2 linked regions of the Oreochromis niloticus genome follow. The protein of the gene in region 2 purifies or fractionates together with the protein of the main gene of each other region. This does not show direct contact. Links are inferred from orthologs where the notes say so. Each region holds a gene or a part of one and is shown on either strand. Other genes may lie near its edges.

The links. Proteins that work in one complex are often made in the same cells at the same time.
Region 1: the proteins of cop1 (region 2) and cops6 purify together in Homo sapiens (affinity purification with western blotting; 3 studies listed by BioGRID and IntAct, with this or other methods). This does not show direct contact. The link is inferred for Oreochromis niloticus from reciprocal best matches to the Homo sapiens genes COP1 and COPS6.

The regions. Positions count from the first base shown.
Region 1 is NC_031966.2:16,067,122-16,074,151, forward strand, and holds the start of cops6 (COP9 signalosome complex subunit 6), read right to left. Parts: upstream 3,015-7,030; 5' UTR 2,933-3,014; coding exon 2,890-2,932; intron 1,469-2,889; coding exon 1,343-1,468; intron 1,221-1,342; coding exon 1,089-1,220; intron 128-1,088; coding exon 39-127; intron 1-38. Other genes in the region: uncharacterized protein LOC100705850, read left to right, coding at 3,247-3,347, 3,483-3,558, 4,916-5,965. UniProt on the Homo sapiens protein: Component of the COP9 signalosome complex (CSN), a complex involved in various cellular and developmental processes.
Region 2 is NC_031982.2:4,016,496-4,024,328, reverse strand, and holds the start of cop1 (E3 ubiquitin-protein ligase COP1), read right to left. Parts: upstream 3,053-7,833; 5' UTR 2,597-3,052; coding exon 2,229-2,596; intron 2,139-2,228; coding exon 2,079-2,138; intron 580-2,078; coding exon 482-579; intron 7-481; coding exon 1-6. UniProt on the Homo sapiens protein: E3 ubiquitin-protein ligase that mediates ubiquitination and subsequent proteasomal degradation of target proteins.

The DNA.
Region 1 (7,030 bases), on a different chromosome or scaffold from region 2:
ATCCTGCCACCTGTCAGTGGGCTTCAGTGTCTGCCTACCTGCTTGTGAATGTGGATATCTGACTGGTCTGGAGGACCACCTGTGGTGTACCAGCCCAGAAACTCCATGTCTTTGAAGACCTGTTTGACTGAGAGACCAGAGGACAATGTAAGGACAAAAATGATCTGATGACTTGACTTACTAATAAATACATATCTGAGAGGGGCTTGGAGAACATAATCATCAATGAACTCTCTCATAGTTACATGAAAACTGAAGAGTTTTTTTTTTTTTTTTGCTTTGCTCATGCTCCGCTTTATTCAAGGTTACAGCAGTTAACTAAAGCGAACTAAAACAATATAGTGAACCTACAAAACAAACTACAGGTTTAAGTCTTTGTCATTTTAATAAAACGTGATAAAAAACTAAATAAATAAAAACTCTGCTTTATGAGGCTTTTCTGCAAACTCTTACAGAGTCTGCACGACTGTGAGTCAACTGCCTTCATAAAGAGTTGTGTTTTTATTATAAGGCCTGTTCTGATTTTCTGGAAATTAACAGCAACTTAACCGACTTGAAAACAAAATTACAAAATCCAAAATAAGAGGCAGAGAATGAGAGTTTTGGTAGTTTTTATGTAATTTTGACCAAAAGACTTGTGTGTAAATCATTTACTTATGGCTCAAGAACTGGATCCAATGCTGCCATCTCTTGGTCAAGTGTTAGAAACCTCCCTTCACATGTTTTACTCCTTGCCCATCCAGACATATTAACAATGTATCGGTACTCTTTGGGAACTGAAACGCCAAAACTACAGAGTCCCATTCTGGCCTTCAAGACTTATCAATTGTTGTATTGTTTATTGTTCTTTGTGTGAGAAAGTCAGAACACAGATACAAAATGTCTCAATTTAATAAAGCAGGCAAGGACAAAACTAAAGTCTAGAAAAACACATCCAACAAGCTGATGTGTGAACTGATCTCCTGAATGATGATTATACCGGTGTTACTAATTTTAGCACAACTCCAGCTACCGAACAACTGAGTCATCAAAGAAGATGCACACACAAATATGTGCATTATTGTCCTTAAGACTTGATGAAAACTTACACTGTTCCTCCTTGGTGTAGTAGTACTCCTTGTCAATGTGCACTTTGTCGTCTATGGTGTGAGACAGCAACTCAAAGGAGTTCATCACCTCAATGTTTCTACCCTCCTGTTTCCCAATCAGAGCTCCAATCACTGAGCAGAGAGACAAACACAACAGCATATGTTTATCTTTAACTTAGACTTTTATTCCAATGCACGTAAGCTCAAAATATATAAATATGTGATTGGATAATGTGTTGTTTTTTCACACATACCCTGCATTGGTCGGCCCTCCTGCGAGCGGATGCGTATCCAGTGATCGGATATGTTTAGGATAACCAGAGGGTGTAAGGCCACAGAAACACTCCCAGTGACCCCTGAGGCCATAACACTGGGGCTGGCTACAGTCATACAAAGACACAAATAAGATTGGGATTAACAGTATGTCAATGACAATATAAAAAAGTCAAAAAACTTGTTAACTGGAAGCACTTTATCAAATTCAAACAATTACTGGAAAGCCAGACAAAGGGATCATTCCATTTCAAATCACCATGGGTTTTCTGCTCAACCATCTTAGAATTTTATGGTCCCAAGCTGTAAAATTTTACCTTCGTATGATATCAATGAAAATGTGTCGATGGACCATTTTTGAAAAGAATACATCTTGAAAAGTATTTGATATATGAAGCTAAAATTTCACAGCAATAAATATGTATCCAATCTGTGGACCATTGCCTTTTTAGGCAAATCTGAGATAGTTGTGCAAAAGGGCAACAGTGATTTGAGATTAAATGAACCAGGTACAAGTGGAAATACTTCTTCAAATCCAAATAATTACTGAAAAAATAGGAAAAAAAGGAACAGTGATCAACCAAAAGTGATTAATATGCTCCTATCACATTAACTGGAAAGTTAATGAACAATGGATCAGTCCTGTTTCGGTATACGTCTAATCAAACTGCATGTATATGTGAAACACAAGAAAATAAGCAGAGACACATCAATAGCCGTAAATCAGTATGAACCCAAAACAATCAATAACGTATAACCAATGCATAACAGACAAAATAATAAGAGAAATTATTTACACTCAGATTGTAGCTGATGACAATGATCTATGTCACTTAGCTTCAGAGCCAAGCAACAGTGCATACACAGTTTTCTTTACATTCAAAATAAGTGACTGGATATATCCTTTTGGCATTAATCATCTGTTTAGTTTGGCACAAAAGATCAGTCTCATGATCGTTCCTAAAAAGTTATATAGCATATGCAATCATAAAACGAGTTCCACAGTTTCCCAACAGGACACCTGAGCAGGTAGATCAGTCAGTGAGTGCCCAATGACACAGTTTATAAAATTAATAAAACGCGACTTTCTCGACTCTGAGTGGTCGCCCTATGCTCGCTACATACAGTCATTTTAATGTATGTGTAACTAATCACACAGATATAGGCCTGCATGTCGGTTCCCCTCATGTACAGCTAATGTTTACGTGGTTGGTGTTGCAGCACTGCCACAGCATTTTAATCAAACTACACATGATGTTAGATTTTACTTCGAATTTCTGATGCAAACTCCTGTGGCAGAGCAGAGGGGACTGCCTCAAACATCCACAGTGATGAATGTACTGACAGCTTCACAGAGCTGAGTACGTTAACCTGCTTATGTCAGCGAGCAAGCTCCTTACGACCCCTTAACACCACGGAGTCGTCACTTCCGCTCACTTATAACACACAAAAACAACATATACGGCAACCTGCACGCAGGTTTTGGTTGATGTGGACAGAAACGATGAGATGAGGGATAAATACTCGCCTGCCCCATCCACTTCCATTCCTCCACCATTGCTGGTCGCCATCTTGTCCGGTAATCCGCGCAGGCGCAGTGGACTGTTGATGCAAAGGACGTTAAGTGGCTCTTCGTGGGGCTCTTTTTTAAAACAAAACGTGCCGCATATTCACGGTCATAAACCTGACGGGTTTATAGAAACATAGGCTGTCTGGGTCGGGGAATGTTGTGTTGAGCTTAAAGTAGCTGATTTGATTTCTGCCCAGCGGCCGCTCGGTCACACAGTCAGTGGACCGGTGTTTCCGGGGGATTGCTGATTCGGGCGCAACCCGTGTGCGTCCATGTACCATTCCGTGTGTGAGGTTTGAGAGTTTTGTTTACAAAATGGATGAATTCTGGGGCTGCAATCTGGACTACTTTCCCGAAAACATTTTAATCGATGTGTTGTCTTACCTGAACGTACGAGAGGTCGTCAGAGCCGGGAGGTAAGGGGATTTCAACTTTGCTCTCAAGGATTTACTAGTTATTCGTCGTTTAAAACAAAACTCAGGTTTTCGTTTGTTTTGTCTTTTGTTATGTGATTTGTGTATATGTTTATATATTTTAAATTGTGGTTTTAGAGTATGTAAGAGGTGGAAACGCCTTGTTAAAGACCAAAGACTGTGGAGAAATGTCGACCTGACTTCATGGAAAGGGGTAAGGATGTTGTTGCCAGTGTGGCTTCATAATTTTTCGTTTCTGCTGTTAATGCAGGCCAGCCATTTTTAGTAATCTAGTCTGTTACTTGGGGATAATAAAAGAAACAAACCCATAGCGATAACTTCTGCTTTTTCTTTTTCTTTTTCTTTTTTTATAAAGATGAAAGACTAGGAGCTGTTGACTCATGTTTTAATATATCCCCTCACATAAAATCAGCACTGGTTTCATCTGTGTCATCAAATAAAAATACAACACCCGGATTTTCCTGTCTCAAAACGGGCCCACTTATACAGTTGTGCTGAGAAATTTATATGAATGAATGCCACAGGAATTTGGGTCTGTGTAGGTTCTCATGGTAATCCAAGGAGCTTGGAAATAAAAGGGACTGGACTGCTTTAAGTTTCTTGAAGACATTTCACCTCTCATTCGAGAAGCTTCTTCAGTTCTAAGACCAAACGACCGTCTTAAGGGACAACTCCCACTAGAGCTTAAATACCTGGGACTTTCCACCATTTGGTCTTAGAACTTAAGAAGCTTCTTGGGTGAGAGGTGAAATGTCTTCAAGAAACTTAAAGAAGTCCAGCCATTTTTCTTTCCAAGCTCTTTACATAGAAATTTGGGGCTTTTCATAATTTCTTTGAACTGTTCTTTGTCCAGGGTGGAATAATTGTACAGAACGCATCTTTAATGCCTTTAAAGAGGAAAAACTAGATGCACAAGTTTGAATCAAATATACACATACAACCCCAACTAATATTTAGTTAATATAAATATTGGTTGCAATTCAGTTAGATACTTTCGGTAGCCATCGACAAGCTTCTGGTGCAACAGTGGCTGCATATTTGACCACTGTTCTTTGCAGAATTGGTCGAGTTCATTTAAATTGGTTGGTTTCCTGGCACAGAGCCAGCTTTTAAACATAGTCTACAAATTTTCAGTACGATTGATGTTGAAGCTTTGGGAAAGCTATTTCAGGAGCTTAATATTAGCCTGCTTTAGTTTTGACATGTCTTTGTTTCAACAACCTAGCTGCTGATTTGAGTCTTAGGCCATCTATTGACAGTTTCTGAGCTGTTACTAGTTATTCTTAACAGCCGTCTACTAATATTTTCTCCTGGCGAGTATGTGTTTTTCTATTGTGTGTGTATTTTAGTTTCTTTGATAGTAAATAAAATTGTCTATTGCTTTTTAAAGCCCCTTGTAAAGCAAATGCTTTTGTGTGTAAAATATGCTCTAAAAATAAACTGTGAGCATCTTTTGATAACATATGGGTTGTGTGTTTGTGCAGTTATTGACAGTTATTGTTTCTCTCTCTCAACACACACATATTCATGGACTGTCCACTGTGTGTTAGGTGACATCCCGCATCCTTTGGGTCCTGCTGCGTCAGTACCTGGGTTGCGGACTAAGGTGCCTTCGCTTGCGTGGTTTGCTGCTGTCCGCACGTGGCGGAACCTTTCTCTCTGAGTCTTGGCTTAAAGCTTTGTCCACAAAATGCCCTCGACTGAGTAAACTCTATCTTCTGCATGCAGACCTGAGAAGCCTGCCCAGTTGCCAGATCCTACCTCCATCTTTGCAGGTGCTGGAGCTGCGGGGTTGCGAGCTGCCTCGTGGCTTCTTCAATCAGACCCTGCCTACTTCATCAGCTAGTCTCCAAGAAAGAGCAGAACCCACATCCAGTGTTGGTTCTCAACTGAAAGGAAGGAACCAGAAAGGAAAAGGGGCTGGCTCTCCTTCAGGGATTGGTATTGAGAGGTTAGTCCTTAACAATGTGCCCTCTTTTACAGACCAGCACCTGCAGGGTCTGACATCATGGGAGAGGCTCTGTCGTCTAGAGCTACGTGACACCTTTCGCGTAACAGCTAATGGGCTTAGAAGCTGTGCTGCCAAAGATGGTGTCTGTGGTGTAGAAGGGCTTTCCAGGCTCAAGTTTCTGGAAATAGGCATTACAGGGCGGCAGGGCTACCAGTTACATATGGCCTCCCTTGGCTTGGGGGCTGGCTGGCTTGGACTGGAGGAGCTAAGTCTTGGTGGAAAAGAGGTGGGTCCAGGTTTGCTCTGCGCCAGCCGCCTGAGAGACCTGAAACGTCTGCGCCTGTGGGACTGCACACTCAGCGAGCTGCAGATAGCCCGGAGTTGCAGGATGCTCCGTGGACTTCGCCAGCTGGAGTTTGTGGACGTCAGGTTCCAGCCTCGTCAGAATCCACCAGCAGAGGAGGGGGAGGGTGGTGAGGAAGAAGAGCAGGACAGAGAAGAAGCTGCAGGTGCAGATGGCAGCAGCGATGAGAACAAGACGGCAGATATGAACGATCCTATTCCAGGTCTGCGTCGCACACTGGCTGTCCTGCTGCCATCCTGCACACTGGTGTTTACCAACTGCTCTGTTCAGAATAATGAAGATTGAATGAAGCTATATGCTGCTATATACAAGCAACCCACATGGGATTTTAAAAATAAAATAAAAACAACAAAAAACAAAACGGTTACATAGGCTTTCAGATCATGTTGACATAAGTAGAGCCGGATTCAGAATGCTTTGTCAACTTTTTCTGACAATGCCACAATAAGTCCATAAATAAATAAAAATAATTTTAAAAGTCTACTCACAATGATCCATGTTTATAGTATTTTTTTAGGCTTTTAGAATGAAGTAACAAAAAACCGAAAAGCTGTACACAGTAATGTATTCAAATGTATTAGGGGATTATTGAGCGATAAAATAAAATAAAAATAGTATGTATAAAAATAAATGACTTCCTCAATATAATTACCTTTGAGGGCTTTAGAGGAGGATTGCAGGTTTCAGCAGTGCAAGAACAACAATAAATGTTTTGGCCCTTTATTTAGGTTTTTACAGTATTATGTTCAAAATGTTACTTGTCTCGATTAAAGCTGACTTAGAAGTAGGAGATATATTGTGATATGGTGTTTTCTGAAAAATCTAATTGGTAACAGTTGCCTAAAACTTCCAATCTGAATTGTCTGTCGTTGACAAATCGGATTACTTCATCACATTGATGCAAACATCATGAAAAACATCTTTCTCATCAGTTTGAAAGGTTGCCTCATAAGCTGAGGCTACTACATTACGAAAGTTAAGAAAAAACATCTGTCATCATAGACACAAATTATATTGTCTTAAGGGATATTTCATGATCTCCTACAATACTCAGTGTCTTTGAGGTAAGTCAGTGGGAAGTCTCTCCTTTTTAGTGCTTAGAAACGATATGAAATAAAATGCAGAACAGTTGCTGTTAGACTGTAAACAGATAAGCAGGTGTCAGCAACAAAGACAAACAAGTCATGATCCACCTGTTTCCTGTTCTTTACCACTTCTCAACAACATATACTGTCAGAGAACATATATTTTACTCTGTTTGGTTGGGTGATGCACAGGATATCGTTGGGCTTTGCATATGTGATTTGTAGAAACTGAGAACAAAAAAGAACCGCTCATCCTGAATGTGTG
Region 2 (7,833 bases):
CATTTACTGGGATGTGGTGAGGAAGTTGTGGACAAGGGATAAATAAGAGAGGAGGAACAGTGGAGTAAGTATATGACAAAGAGACTGTCACAGCTAAGGAACAACACATCTGCAGAGACATTTTACTTGTGATGAATAAAAGAAAAGTGGCAGCGACATCTTTATCATTATGCATTTAAATACCTACACAATGCATTTCATTAGATTTTTGTTTGGCCCATTTATGAGACAAAACTTTCAATTTTGACTTCATTCAAATACGAAAGCCTCATTTTAGTAGTGATTATGAGCTAAAGACAAATCTATTCAAATATTGTGATTTTAAAAATCATTAAGTCCAAAACTGACATAACAGCTATATTTTAATGTCCAAGTTAAAATGAAAAGCTCTGAGAAAAATGATTAGTTTAGGAGCTGATCATCTGACTGTTAGAAAAAACCCAAAACAAAACAAAAAATCCCTCCAGTTCAAAATACCCACCAAGAAAGTTTGGGTAGACCTGATCCACATTATCGATAATATAGTTACACTTGGGACATCTGTTGCTGTCCTCCAGACTCTGGCGGATACACTTGAAACTGCAGGATGGAGAGAGAGAATAAATAAATATTATGGACTCCAGCTCCACGTTTCAGTCCAAGATCTTACAAGATTAGCTTTAAACGAGTCATAGTCAAAATAATCTTTATTCATCCCATACTGGGCCTTCTTCTGATTATATGTGACCCTCAAAAACAGAACTTTTGCTCAAAGCCAGAGCTCTGATCCTGTTAAGGATATCTGCTCGCACCGACATCACCAGTGAGTAGACAAACTATCGCAAACTGAGGCATAACTTGCTAATGTGCTGATGTCATTACTTGGATCTTTGGTCATGTTTATTATGAGCATTGAAAAACGAGCCCATTAACAGAAATGAGAATCACTGCAAGCAAACACAACAGGCATAAAGAACACTGAGCCAACTGTGGATTACCAGTAATCATGTTAAGCTTTACCATAACTTTGCTGAAGAGTCTACAGGCTTATATTCAGCTTAAGACCATCTACTGTCATTAAAAACTAGTTAATGTTTTTGCTCTGTTTTTTTGTTGTTGTTGATGTTGTTTTTAATTATTACAACCAACTTTGCAGTTTGAACCTTTTCCTTTTTGCTTCTTATCAAAATGCAGTGTGGATGACTTAGTTCATTCATTTACTTTCTATAATTAAAAGAAAATGTGCTTACATAAAATAAAAGTCTCTTATATCTTAGACTAGATTAAACATCCGTCATTTCATTATCGATCAAAATAATTGGGATTTTTGCCAAAATAAAGCACTCCTTCCAGTTGATTTTACTGATTCCGGTGGCAATAGCCATTGTGCTTACTTTTTTAATGTTAGCCTAATGAATCCTGATCAATTCTCTGTGCAAAACAAACAGCAAGCCTTTACAGGCTTTTGGCATTAATGAAAAGTTGAATTCAGGGTTTTTTTTTTCACCTTGAATAGAAAACAATATTGGTGGCATCCTCTAAAGGAAAATTACCAGGATTATAAATTAGTTGGACATGTTTTAACCGTAAGCTTGCTTTTCACTCATTAAACTCCCAAAATAAAATGCAGAAATGTACACCAAACAGACTCGCTGCTTTAACCAATCTTGCTTTTGCAGCGTCACCCCTATTTTGAGTCAGAAAAACTCTTGGGTCTGACCAGAGACGAAGTGAGGCTTGCATGGTGTACAAAACTTGCATTGTATGGGTTTGATGTTGTTATTGTCATTAAAATATAGCAACACTGATGTGATGGACTGTGATTTGGAACTTCCTCTAGAAGCCCATCTGTAACATTAAAAACATGCCCAAACTTTAAAACAAAATGCAAGAACAAAAAAATACTATAAAAAAATATTGTCAAAAGTTTTTTTTAAAGTGCACAGTAATCAGCTGTAAGTATGGATCCCCGCAGAGTGCATGGTTTGTCTTAAAGATAACTTTGTTCCTTCAGTCTGTGACATTTGTTGCTCTTCAGCATTTGTGACACTGTCGAATACTTTGCTGTGCATCATTTTCTCTACAACACAAACACTCACCAAAAACTGTGCCCGCACTTCGTCATGTGTGCCTCGTCTATCATTTCGAAGCAAATGGGACTGGAAAAACAAGCAGAAACCCGAGTCATCGTGCAGCTCTCAAACTTTTACGGAACTCACCCCAAAGCTCGAGTGCAATACAAAACTAACCAGACGAAGTCGTTGCTTTTATCTTCGTATGAATTCAAGAGGCCGTTGTACAGTGGTGCCTGATGCAGGGATCTCTTTCTGTTACCAGAGGACGCAGACGGTCTGCTGAGAGAAGCTAAGCCGCCCCGGGGTGACGGCACGGCGGCCAGAGTTGGCACTGACAGGCCGCCCTCTCCGGCCGCTGCCAGGGTCCGTGAGGGCACAACATTTCCAGAAGTGCTCCCATTACTTGTGGGAGCGCTGCTGCCACCGCCACCGTTTGTATTCCCAGTGCCTCCTGTACTACTACTGCTGCTGCTGCTGCTACTTGTGCTGGGCACTGAACTCGCCCCAGCAGCGCTTTGCTGTGGCCGGTTGCTTGACATCATACAAGGCCGACTAGGAACTCCCCAAATCCGCTGCGTTGCTATTCAAAGCATCCGGAAAGAGCAGCTATTTGGCTACTTTAGCAGATTTGCTAGCTAGCTGGTTTGCTTATGTGCTAACATCCTGGGAGAAATACAAGAGTGGCCAAACATCCAGCGGAGAGAAAAAAAAAAAAAAGGTTGGCCGTCGATGTCTGGTTTAACGCTTGTCACTAACGGTGAATTCCAAGATCGCTGGACTCTAAACAGAAAAACACAGACCAACACTGTAACGGCCAAGAAAATAAGAACGGCTGCGCTGTTCAGGAGATTATCCGGCTAGCTACTGTTAGCAACAGAGAGAGTTTCCTCGATTACTCGGGTACCAGCAATCCAAAACCTGGTTTTAAACTATCGCCCCCTAGCGAGAAGGAGTTTAACCGCGCTGGTGGAAATGTAGACTTCAGGGAATTATCCACTCAGAAAAAAAAGAGCACAGCTTTTAATTTGTCTTTCAGTATGCCAGTCCTAGTCTCTATAACTGTTTTAATGCTTACATCATTTAATTATCCTGTTTAAGTAGTATCATAAAGGATATAATCATGTGACCCATGGCATGAAAAACAGACAGCAATGTTTATTGGAATGCAATGTAGCAGGGCTGAATTAAATACTATCCTCGTATTTAACACAGGGGATTTTCTCAGTGTTAATAACAACACTTGGAAAAGGAGTTTGTTTATTTCACTTCATGCTATGTTATGTTACTCTGTAAAATACTTTTTTGCGATGTGATTATATTATTGTTATTGTTATTATTATTATTATTATTATTATTATTACATGTTCTGTACTATGTTGTAAAGTCTAGTTATAGTAATTCAACAGAAAAAATGACTTTGATTATGGAATTTTAAACATGTGTGTTGTTTTATTTCCTTCTTTTATTTCTATTTTTGTAACCCCTTGAAACAGTTTGTGTGAAACACAATTATCTCAGCTGAACCTAGAATTACTAGCTTTTTTATAACTTCCTGCCAATACTGGCTTTCGCTGCTATCCAAAGCTCAAATCATGCTAGGAGGTTCTGAGATAATGTCCCTGGAAGCTTTGAAGAAAATTGGATGAACAGGTGCACATGTTTACAGAGATTCCTTGATTTATTGGAGAAATATAATACGATGAAAACGTCCAGTTCATAAACTCAACTAACAACATGTAGCCATGAAAGTTAGTCAGGTAGCTAGTTAACATACAAACAACAAAAGAACGTCAGGCAGGTACACATATTGCATGTATGCATTTTTGTCATCTGCAGTTCTAGATTCAAGATTAAAGACTCTTTTTTGTTTATATCATTATATTTAATGACACAAATCTTGAAAATATATATACTATAAGACTGGGATTTAAAAATATCGCACACTTGACTGAACATGATTTATTTACAGGCTATGTGTATCTATAAGTAATGTGTATACCTGAGGGATGTAATAGTGTGGAGTGGTAGAAAAGTGTACTTCACAAACAGCTTCCACAGCATGTCTTTTATCCTGTCTTCCTTCTCTCATCCCAACCGGTCGCAGCAGATGGCCCCGCCCCTCCCTGAGCCTGGTTCTGCCAGAGGTTTCTTCCTGTTAAAAGGGAGTTTTTCCTTCCCACTGTCACCAAAGTGCTTGCTCATAGGGGGTCATATGATTGTTGGGTTTTTCTCTGTATGTATACTGTAAAGTCTACCTTACACTATAAAGCGCCTTGAGGCGACTGTTGTTATAATTTGGCGCTGTATAAACAAAATTTATAATTGAAAAAGGTTTTTACATTTTTTCTAAAATGTACTGCATATGCAGATGTAAACTTCCCTCAGAGGTCACTGACATTTTCAGTGCAAAAATCCAGGTGAAATGATAAACACATCTAAAAATATTGCCACATATAAAAATCCATAACGAGAGGATCAAATGAAGAGTTTTGTGTAATCAGCATCCACTACTGAATAAAAGGCCGGTAACTGTGATAGAACACAGATTCAGTTGTTTAACACATGAATACTGCGTCAGAATTCACTTTTAAGTTAAGAGGTAAGTACATCTCAAGAATCAGACGTGCATCTGCAGCACCACAGATGCACGTCTCTATTTAAGAAATGCCTCCAAATATTACAGAGATTTCTGTCCACCACTCAAATGCACAGTGGCTCCCGTGCTTGTCATTCTTTCCAGATTGCCTTTTTACATTAAAAAAACAAAAAAAATCAAGCAGGTAGGTCACATCCACAAAGTGCAGCCAGGGGCCGAGCCAACACAAACAGCATCGTGTCATTCAGGCATCCACCTGCAGCTTTGCAAATAGAACCCGAGGAGCACTAACATATTCACGCTCACAGTTTGTCCAGCCTGCTACTTGATTTTTCCATTTTTACCTCCATGTGGGCAAATAAGGGGTCCTCCACGTAGGCACGCACGACATTGGATTTTCCCATGTTTTTGTTTGCGGAAAGAAGTTTATATGTTTCATTATGGAGCTCAGTTAGGATGGAGAGTAAGTTTTTTTTCTTTTTCAGCTAGAGGAAAGTTACTGAGTACGTCGAAGAGCAAATGAGTTTCTCTGAGAGGGGACCACCATGTTAACGGGCTTCCTCTGTGCTGCATGCAGGCGGTGAATCATGCTGAGTTTAGAAGAAGCCAACGGAAAGTCACTGTGCTAATATCAGCAGCGATGCAGTTTTCACAAAAGCTCCAAAAAGGGGAAACTTGTGTCACTTTTTTCATTTTTCAACGAGGCTTTACAGATCGGTAGAAAATATAATTTCAAAGAAACAAAAAAGGCAGTGAAAGTGTGAAGCTTCCAAGCAATGAAGCAAATGTTGCAGCTATTGATTTGAACACCCTCATCGCTAAATCCTGAATCCTTGGAGTAAAACACCTGCAGCACTGTCCACACACTGTGCTTCATGTGCCTTCCCCCTCGGCCCATCTCCCTGCCCCACTTCTATTTCACACCAGTGGTGGTGAAAAGCACTCTTTTCTTCTTTCTTCCCCCTTCTCATTTGTCCTCCGCATCAGCCTGGATTTTCTCCTATTGGGCCCCCCCTCTTCCTTTTTTTTTTTTTTTTGCATGAGGATCCAGGTTGTGTGTGTGTGTAGAAAAGAGAGCACGAGGGGAAGGGGACATGGAGCTGGCCTCGGGGTCGTTGGGGTCAAGACGGACAAGCTGAGATGAAGGATAATCTGTGGAGGTCCCTTACAGTGGGGGGTGAGGCCCTGGAGGAGCACGCCCATTCAGACGCTCTACCAGACACCCCACTCCCTTCTATGGCTCTCTTCCTCTCTTTCTCTTCTGCCTCTTCTCCTCCATCCTCTGTTTTTGTTGGAAATTTAAAGTCCCCCTCCCCCTCTGATTTCTCTTGTCCCCCTCTTCCTCCAAATGCAGTTGCAGCTGGATTTCAAAGGGCACTTCTGCAGCAGAGAAAGCTGAATGTTTAGCAGCCAGGCTTGGTTTGTGGAATTCCTGCCTCCCACTCTTTAGGAACCGTTTTTTGCCCCTTCAGGGGCCCCTGCCATAACTGCCGGTGGCCTCCCCCTCCTCCTCCTCCATTTCCATCTCCAACCTTGAGCCAGGGCCCTGTTGGCAAATTGAGCTTGACAAAAAAGTAAAATAGCAGGGCCTGAAAGAAGGAGGCAACACTTTAGAAGGTGTGGAACAACAAAAAAGTGGCCTACAGGAGGCCGTTTTTTGTTTGTTTGTTTTGTTTATTTACTATTAAAGATTTAATTACCACTTAAAAGATAAATAATGACTCATTCATAAAAAAAATGCAAACCAATACCACAGTGTGCAGTTTCAAGACTTTAAAATCATCTGGTGGAATATCACTTCTTAGTGATTTTTAAGGATCAGTATAGATTTTGTTTGCAGCTTCTGGAAACATTACAGTGAGCACACCTGTCTTTTGACTTAGACTGCCTGCACAACATGCCAAAAGCTATTTTCCCATTTGTAAGGTATTCATCATGGCTTGAGATATTCATCAATGCACGATAAGCTTCAGAGCTGGCTCGGAAATGACAAAGAATTCAAGGACACCTGCAACACTTTAAATGCATGTTTTCTGTTTGTTTGCCTTCGAATGCAAAAGTAGTAGCATTACTGAGTTTCTGCCCGAAACACGCTTACATGCACGACCTCTAAAGGCAGGGGGAAAAAAAACAAACAGGGTGAATATTGAGGTTGAAAGAAAACGAGTTGACCATTAAAGGGGCCTTTCATTTGCTTTTGTGAGAGACTTCGACCACAGCCCTTCCTTCTTTCAGAGGACAGACTGCTCCTGATAATGGAAATTACAAAAAAAAAATAAAAAAATCAGCTGGACCTTCAGTAGTTTTTTTTTGTCATTTTTGCATAAAAAACAGTATCAAAAGATAGTAAAATGTCTTTTTTTGTTGTTGTAACATTTCATTATGCAAGTATATGTCTGCATGTATGCAGATGCACACAGCTTTTCATAGAATCTGTTCACTGGGCACCTACAAACGGACAAATCTGTGTGCATTATTTCACCATCATCCACCTTGGTTTAATTTCTTCCTCTCTGCCAGTGCTTCCACCCCTTTTTTCAGCCTTGGCCCACACGAGCACAAGAGTTCAGCACAAAGCAGGTAGCATATTTGGATGGTAAAACCCCCCCCCAAAAAAACCTTTTTCACGTGCAGGACAGATGTTGTGCCTGTCTGTGCTGTACCACTGAAGAGAGCCAGAGTGTGAGTGTGTGAGTGAGACTGCAGGAGAATGGGCAAGGGAGAGAGAATGAGGGAGGGAGGGAGAGGAGAAGGAAAAGGAAAAGGAAAAGGAAGAGAGAAAGTTACTCAAACTTTACCTATTTCATTTAGGGGTAATTTGTGTGTGTGAGAGAGAGAGAGGGGAAAGGAAAGAGAGTGAGGGAGGGTCATAGGGAGAAAACACTTCTCCTCCCCCATCCCAGCCACCATCATTCATCGTTTGCCAGGTTAGAGAGTCCCATTAAGAAGACACGGACAGCAAATCATATACTGCAGCTTATGCTGCGATTGTTTTCTACTCAATCTGACACCAGTTTACACAGTAATTCACTGTGTGACTTATGAATATCATAATGTAAATATACATTATGTAATATTGTAGCATAATATAGTATAATATAAGGTATTAAAACTTAGTTGTGCTTGTGCACTTGTCCACGCACAAGTGCACTTTTTTCCTGGACCATTCTCCACATTACCAGA